Oryzias latipes: one gene and its partner. The protein of the gene in region 2 binds, or shares a complex with, the protein of the main gene of each other region. Links are inferred from orthologs where the notes say so. Each region holds a gene or a part of one and is shown on either strand. Other genes may lie near its edges.

Region 1 (4,361 bases), on a different chromosome or scaffold from region 2:
ACTCCCACTGCACGTGCTTGGGAAACTTGAACTCGTTGGGAAGGCCTGTCCAGTATTCCAGCATTCCCGCTTTGTCGGCAGACACGATAACTCGGAATTTAGGATTCAAGCGGATTTGAGTCAGCGGGGAGGAGTGCAGTTTGTCAAAGACGTGAAGGGGCTCGCTGCTTCCCCGCCCATCGTACACAAAGATCTTCCCTGTGGATTTTTCAGAACACGCCACGGTGCAGATGGCGTCCCCGGGGTTGTAGATCCACTCACTCTGTCCGGGGTGAAAGCTGCAAACAAACCCTGCATCAGTGTCTGCCGCATCATTCAGGCTCCACTGCACCGTCATTGGAACTCACCCCAGCTTCAGCATGTTGATCATGTCAAAGTTGACCACATCGAAGACTTTCATGGCCCGATCGTCCCCAACAGAGCAGAAGAGAGCCCCTTCGGCACTGACGGCGATGCTCTCGATCACACCTGCACAAACACAGCTTCACGTTGAGAAGAAAGCCACATTCGTGCGCCTGCAAGATCGAAACGAGGGCGAAAACGAAGGTCTTACCCAAGTGGCTTCTGAAGTGTTTCACAAACTCTATACCCTCATCCTCCTTCTTTTTCCAAAACTTGACGTGGCCGTCTTGGCTGGCAGTTAGGACAAAGTCTGTTCTGGAACAGAAAAGGGACAGCGTGAAAAAGAGAGGAGTGTCAGATAAACGGCACAATTCCTCTAAAGAACATTTTGCCAGAGAGCACAAATTCTAAGTATTTTTACTATTAACTTTACTATAAGGTACATAGAAACACAAAAACTGCACACTCTTTTGCTTCTTTGACACCTGAAGCTGCATAACAGTTCTGATCGACTTGTCTTTCATTTCCATAGTTGCATGATCAGCTGAATGAAGTTACATTTCCACCACTTAGTTAGACTTACTTGGAACAAACTATATGCGTAATAATGTCTCTGTGCATGTAGCTCCGTTCATACATGGCAGCTGAGGGCAGGTTGTCCAGGTAAACACGCTCGTATTCGAGTACTGACACCAAACACACAAAAACAGGCAGAAAAGAGCGGGGGTTAGCGCGGATTAGCACGACTTCTAACAGATGTTTGTCACAGACCAGGGTAAAGCCGCCACCAGAAACCAACCTTTCCGTTTTTTAGTCGTCGTGGCTTCATTCGGCATGGGTCCGACCCATTCGGAATCTTGTTGTTCTTCATCTCCGTCCCGGTTATCTTCAGCCTTTCGCTTCAAATCCACACTGTTTTCAGATTCCGCCATCGTTGCTTCTCTTCTGGTTTGTCCTGTCGTGATTACGGCACTTCCGCTTGACTTCTAAATTCGTTAACCCTTCCAATCGAAGTAAATGCATACATATATAGTAAGTAAAAAATAAGATTAAATTAAATGCATATGCAAACACCTTTTACATTAATATTAGATTTTTTTTCAAACTTAAATAGAGTTTCCACTGAGCGCGATCATGTTTCCGCGGGGCAGTTATCAAAGAACACATGGATCAAACCAATGCAATTGAAGAGGGGAAATAGTTGGAAAAACGTAATTCGTTTGTTTTGTTGTTATAGTTTATTTTTATTTGCATGCTTTAAAATGCGGCGTTTTCTAAAGAAATACCCTTTTATCAAATTCAATTATATATTAAGTGCAAAACGTTTCAATAAGATTATATGTCTACCTTCTGACGTCCCTGTGCACTCGGAAGTAAACAACCCGCGAACAGATGCAGCTAAGATGGCTTTGGAAGTGAAACGATCAAATTAATCTCATGTAAGAAAAACAGTTGTAAGAATCATTCTTTACCATTCGCTTTGTTTTCAGTTAACTAAAAGTACTTTAAACGTATAAATTAGTTAGAAGTCGGGGGGCAAAATGAGCAACATTTACATTCAGGAACCTCCGACGAATGGAAAGGTGAGCGTTCAGTTTCTTTCGCTCCAGAAAAGCCCAACTTTCATGTGGTTTTACCTCTGAAATGTACAACAATTGTCTCCATTAGCTAATAATTAGATGTATTTATTGTTAACTGAAGATTGTATGTTGGAAAATGTTCTTCCAGGTTCTGTTGAAAACATCAGCAGGAGAAATTGACATTGAGCTGTGGTCCAAAGAGGCTCCCAAAGCCTCCAGGAACTTTGTGCAGCTCTGCATGGAAGGTAGGATCTGTCAAAAAGAACCAAAAATCGAGAGTTAAATCTGCCTTTTTGTTTTGTTTTCTTTCTTGGGAAAAGTGATCCAATCTGTGCTGTTTGGGTCTCTATTTCTAACCCTATAGGTTACTACGATGGCACCATTTTCCACAGAGTGGTCCAGGACTTCATCATTCAGGGTGGGGATCCTACAGGAACAGGAACCGGGGGAGAGTCCGTGTACGGCCGTCCGTTCAAGGTCCGACAGTTTCGCTGCTCGCTTCAGAAAAACGTGTGTTTAAGCCTAAGCGAAAACCCTAAACTTCACCTTTCAGGACGAGTTTCACTCAAGACTGCGCTTCATTCGGAGAGGCCTGGTTGCTATGGCGAACGCTGGGCCACACGATAATGGGAGTCAGTTTTTTTTCACGTTGGCGCGTGCGGATGAACTCAACAATAAACACACCATATTTGGAAAGGTGAGCATAACTTCAGTCCATTGTATGGTGGATGTTTTAAGAGCTGCTTATGTTAAAAAAAAGCCTTATTTTCCTTTTGTTTTACTGCAGGTCACTGGAGATACGGTCTATAACTTGCTCAGATTGGCTCAGGTTGAATGCGACAAAGATGAACGACCTCTGAGGCCTCATAAGATCAGATGTGCTGAGGTGATTCGTTTATTCACACCAATCAGAGCAGCTCCTGTATCTAAAAAGTCGTTTTTTTTCCCTTGTGATAATGTTGTGTGCGTCTTCCAGGTTCTGCACAATCCCTTTGATGACATTGTTCCTCGAGAAACGAAGAAAAGCAAAAAGGATAAAGACAAGGAAGAGGCAAAGAAATCCCAGTCAAAAGCCACGAAGTGAGCATTCACTCTTTCTTCTTCCCTGTTTATGCTAAAAAATACAACTATCAGACTTTTATTGTGAATGTTTTTCTCACCTGCAAAATGTAGTTTTCTTGGTTTTAAGTCCATGTGGCCTCGTATTTGAATTCCTCTTACAATCTTGTTGTTTTCTGTGATTGTAGTGGTTTTTGTTTGTTGTTGTGATTTGGATTAATGCTCCAAAAAAACTTTTCCAGGAACTTCAGTTTGTTATCGTTTGGTGAGGAAGCTGAGGAAGACGAGGAGATGGCGAATCAAGTCAGTCAGGTATGTTTCTGCTCTCCACAGCAAACTTTGTGCTGCCTAAAGCCTTAGTCCCAACTAAGAACACACGAATTATCAAGTGAGTGTACTTGTTGATGCATACGGGCATGCGACAGGTTGTAGTTAACACTTCAAATGTATGGGTGTTGTTTAGAGGAAAAGTCACGTGACCCATACAGCCACTGTGTCTGCGTGTCACAGAGAAGCCAAACAAGGAAGCGTATCGTTGCCAGATTCTTCGGTTTTCCACCCAGTTGGGTAATTTTGGAAAATTTGCTTTGGCGGGTTTCGTGTCAACTTGGCAGGGTTCAGTTAGTTTTATTATGAGTCTAAGCTATCTTTTATTTTGAAAAATTAACCTGATCTTTTCTGTTACATTTCAGTCACTTGGGTGTTAAATCAGTTCCGCTGCGATTTTAACAGAGTAGGAAAAAAACAGCTTTTCATGCACCCAAACTTCCAGCTGTTGAACGATTCTCGCCCACCCTGTTTTCCCCGCCCACCTGTGTATGACGTTTTATTTTACTGAATCTTTCCGAAAGGTGTTGAATGTGGTGTTTTTAATTAGGTTTTTGGAATCATTTAACAATTTTATCAAGGATTTAGGCTTTTTCTCCCCCCATTCCTCTCAGTTGGTCCAGCAGAATACAATTCCACTGCATTCTGTCTCTTATTTGACATGAATCATTTTATGTTTTGGAGGTTGTTCAGCAGAACTGTCAAACTTAAAAGCATCTCCCCAATGCTGGATCTTATAGAGCGCGAGACATGGGAATGAGGAACTACGGTAACAAATATTCTGTTTAGTTGATTTAATCAGTAAATCTGTGAACTTTCTTAACTGTGTTGCCTGCAATGATGTTTCTGGTCCAGCAGGAGTCAGTATTGAGTGAAACAGTATCATCAACACAGAATCCATACAGTTTGGCTGATGTGTCAACGCTTCACGAGGCCTCATTTACCCATCACTACTGCAGACTGCGTAAGGAGGCTGTAGGTTCAGCGCACGTGAAACGTGCGCGCTCCTTGCGAAGCCGCCTTACGGTCAGAAATGAGGAAAGTAGACAATCA
Region 2 (2,947 bases):
AACACCTATTTTTGTAAGTTGAACTAGATTAGTTTATGTATCAAAGTTCAACTTTAAATTGTGTGTTTGTCTCCTTAGGGAGTCCCTTGTTTTGAATAAATTTCACAGCTGTAGTGCAAAGACATGCTAAAATAAAAATCATATAACTTACAAAGAAATATACAAAAAGTTCCTTATCATCAACCAACACTGGTTTAGGAATATCTCTAAATACACGCGTGCATACATTTTTATACGGCCGAGTTTTCACCATCTTACCATAATCTTTCTAGCTGCCTGCAGATTCTTCTGTCTGATCTCAAACTGGGCGAAGAGAAGCCAGATCTTGGCAAACGTGAACTACAAAAAAAAAAACAAAGCAGGCGTCACTGTAAGGTTATGTCAGCAAACCGACCTTTTTTTTAAGAAATGACAAGTATTCTAAAGAATACCTTTTTGTGAGGCATAAGATCCAGACAGGCCTGGTAAACCTGCCTAGTTCTCTCTGGATCCTGTCAGGTGATTTAAAAAAAGGGTAAAACTTCTTGTTTTTGATTGCTCTGATGCAGAGGAGTCAGTATTTTTCACTTTCATTTGTTTTAAGATTCTCCAAGTGAGCAGAGGTGAGCATGCAGTTCCTTTCCCATGTGCTTTGGAAAGTAGACATGAGGTGAATGAAGAACCAACCTTGACTTCTAGTTCTTCGTACAGAGCATAGTTGATCCAGAGGTAGATGTATCGCCTCCAGTGCCTTTTCTCTTGAATGGGAGGGATGTTGGCGATGGCTCTCTCATAAACATCTCTGACCGTGTCAGGGTCTCCATCGCTCTCCACCAGGCGCAGGTAATCAAACCAGGCATCATAGTTGAGTGGGTTTGCCTGAAGAAGATACGAATCATGAGAATCCTTGTGTTTGAAGGCAAGAACCCTTTCCTCTCTAAGATCAGTAGTTGGTATGCAATGCTGTACAGCAAGCTAACACCCGACTGCATCTTTTAGATCAAAATCAGGTTTTAGTTTTATTTCTACCACAGATTAAGATGGGTCATTTTCAGAATTTATCATGTAAATCTGATCTGGGAGAATTAATAGATTCTTAGATGAACTAAGATTCAGATTTCTTTGTTTCATGCAGTAATTAAAACACAAAAAAGATACAACAACGATCTACAAAATGCTTAATAATTAACATTCAGTTAATTAGAAGTTGAGCTCTTCACAAACTAACACTTTTTTGAGCCACAACTCATGTTGCATCATTAATTTATCTGACAGAAATCTTCACATTTAGGTTTTTTTTTTTAAATGTCATCCAAATGAGCCTAAATTTGTTGTCTTGTCAAACTCCATGTTCTGCTTGTTGTTGGGTTTTACCCAGCTTCCATTTGACATTTTTACCTTGACCTCCTCTTCATACTGAAATCTTCGTTTGTTGATGATCACATCCTCAATCCCCCTGCGGTCTCCAAACTTCTTCTCAAACATGGTGTAGTTTTTGAAGAGTTCCTGCGCTTGATTTTTCGGAATCTTGTCCAACGCATACTTATAAATGACTCGAACCCGCTCGAACTGCATAGAAAAAGAAACTCTGTGTTATTAGAAGCCATGATTGCACATGGAAATACAATAAATTTTTCTTGTACCTCCTTCTGCATCTCCTCAAATTTGGCAAAAGCCACAAAGAGGTTTTCGTTGACGTGATCCTCTCCATAGAACTCCGCTGCTCTTTCGTACACCTTCCTGCTATGAGCAATGTAGCCATGTTTCTCTTCAAAGCGGGCATACTTGATCCAGTTCTTCACTTCAGGGTGAACCATCACAAGTGCGAGGAGTCAAGAAATGTTATGTTTCCAGCAAGATTACCCATGTTTCTGTTCATCCTAAAAAGGTTGCTAGTAATTAAATGGCCTTGGTATTCTGATTGTAAGTCAATGTCTGAAAAGGCCTCATCTTGTCTGGAAAATGTGTGGTTATAGAAGAAAAAAAACTATAAATTACCTAGTAACACAAACAGATGTCAGCAGAAGTTCAATATGTTGGCTAAAGTTATTACTTTAATTTTTTTCTACTGCTCAGTTTACTAACGTTCCTCTAAATAAATTTGGGTTGCAGGAAGAAAAGCAGTTTCTGTGAGGTCAAAATGGTCAAATAAATGATGTAAAAGGATATATCGCTCATAAATGGTGCGGGCTTTGTCCACCTCCTTGTAGCGAAGTTCAAAATTGATGTAAGAGTGCCAGGCCTGTTCATCAGGCTCCCACTCCATCCAGCGCTCAAACGCCTGCCTGCAGCCGGCAACGTTACCCAACATCTCCTCCATGTATGTGTACTTGTACCTGTTCAACAGAAGAATACTTCTTTAAAATAATGCACAAACTGGACAAAAGAAGTGAAGGGAATTAAAAAATCATACCAAAACTGGTTGACTCGAGGAAGGATGGTGATGGCTCTGTCCCAGATGTTGCGGGCGTGATTCACCTGGCGGTTTTTCATCTCCATCTCTGCATACTTTAGCCACAGCGTGATGTTGCGGTGATCGACATCCAGCGCTCGTTCGTAAATGGAGCGCGCCCTGACAGCAGGTAAGGCAGTGGTGAGAGAAAGTGGACAGCAAAGGCATGCAAGGTTGTTTAGAATTCAAAAACCTAAGACAAACTAAAAAAATCTCCAATTAAAGTAGCTCCTGCATATAGCTTTCTTGTTGGGCAAACGGGGGCCTAGATTGAAAAAACACAAGTTATAAAGATAGAGTAAAATACCTTTGGACCTCTTTCTGGCTTTCTTCCCATTGTGCGTACTTAATCCAGTTACTGATGATTGTGCGGTTCTTTCTGATGTTGTCCTCAAACGCCTACAAAAGTAGAATTTTAGGTTGGATAAATAATTTAAACGTTTCATAGTTTTTCTTTTAAAAAGGTTTGTTCTTTAAGTCAAAGTCAAGCAAAACATATTAATCATGTTCTAATAT

The links.
Region 1: crnkl1 (region 2) and cwc27 share a complex: the UniProt entries of both Homo sapiens proteins name them as parts of the minor spliceosome. The link is inferred for Oryzias latipes from reciprocal best matches to the Homo sapiens genes CRNKL1 and CWC27.

The regions. Positions count from the first base shown.
Region 1 is NC_019870.2:3,045,529-3,049,889, reverse strand, and holds the start of cwc27 (peptidyl-prolyl cis-trans isomerase CWC27 homolog), read left to right. Parts: upstream 1-1,528; 5' UTR 1,529-1,883; coding exon 1,884-1,925; intron 1,926-2,070; coding exon 2,071-2,167; intron 2,168-2,286; coding exon 2,287-2,399; intron 2,400-2,475; coding exon 2,476-2,619; intron 2,620-2,709; coding exon 2,710-2,808; intron 2,809-2,898; coding exon 2,899-3,002; intron 3,003-3,223; coding exon 3,224-3,293; intron 3,294-4,361. Other genes in the region: ppwd1 (peptidylprolyl isomerase domain and WD repeat-containing protein 1), read right to left, coding at 1-278, 348-468, 554-657, 926-1,028, 1,142-1,274. UniProt on the Homo sapiens protein: As part of the spliceosome, plays a role in pre-mRNA splicing. Probable inactive PPIase with no peptidyl-prolyl cis-trans isomerase activity. As a component of the minor spliceosome, involved in the splicing of U12-type introns in pre-mRNAs.
Region 2 is NC_019882.2:16,311,578-16,314,524, reverse strand, and holds part of crnkl1 (crooked neck-like protein 1), read right to left. Parts: intron 2,831-2,947; coding exon 2,739-2,830; intron 2,552-2,738; coding exon 2,393-2,551; intron 2,316-2,392; coding exon 2,149-2,315; intron 1,802-2,148; coding exon 1,623-1,801; intron 1,549-1,622; coding exon 1,378-1,548; intron 859-1,377; coding exon 667-858; intron 492-666; coding exon 432-491; intron 340-431; coding exon 259-339; intron 1-258. UniProt on the Homo sapiens protein: Involved in pre-mRNA splicing process. As a component of the minor spliceosome, involved in the splicing of U12-type introns in pre-mRNAs.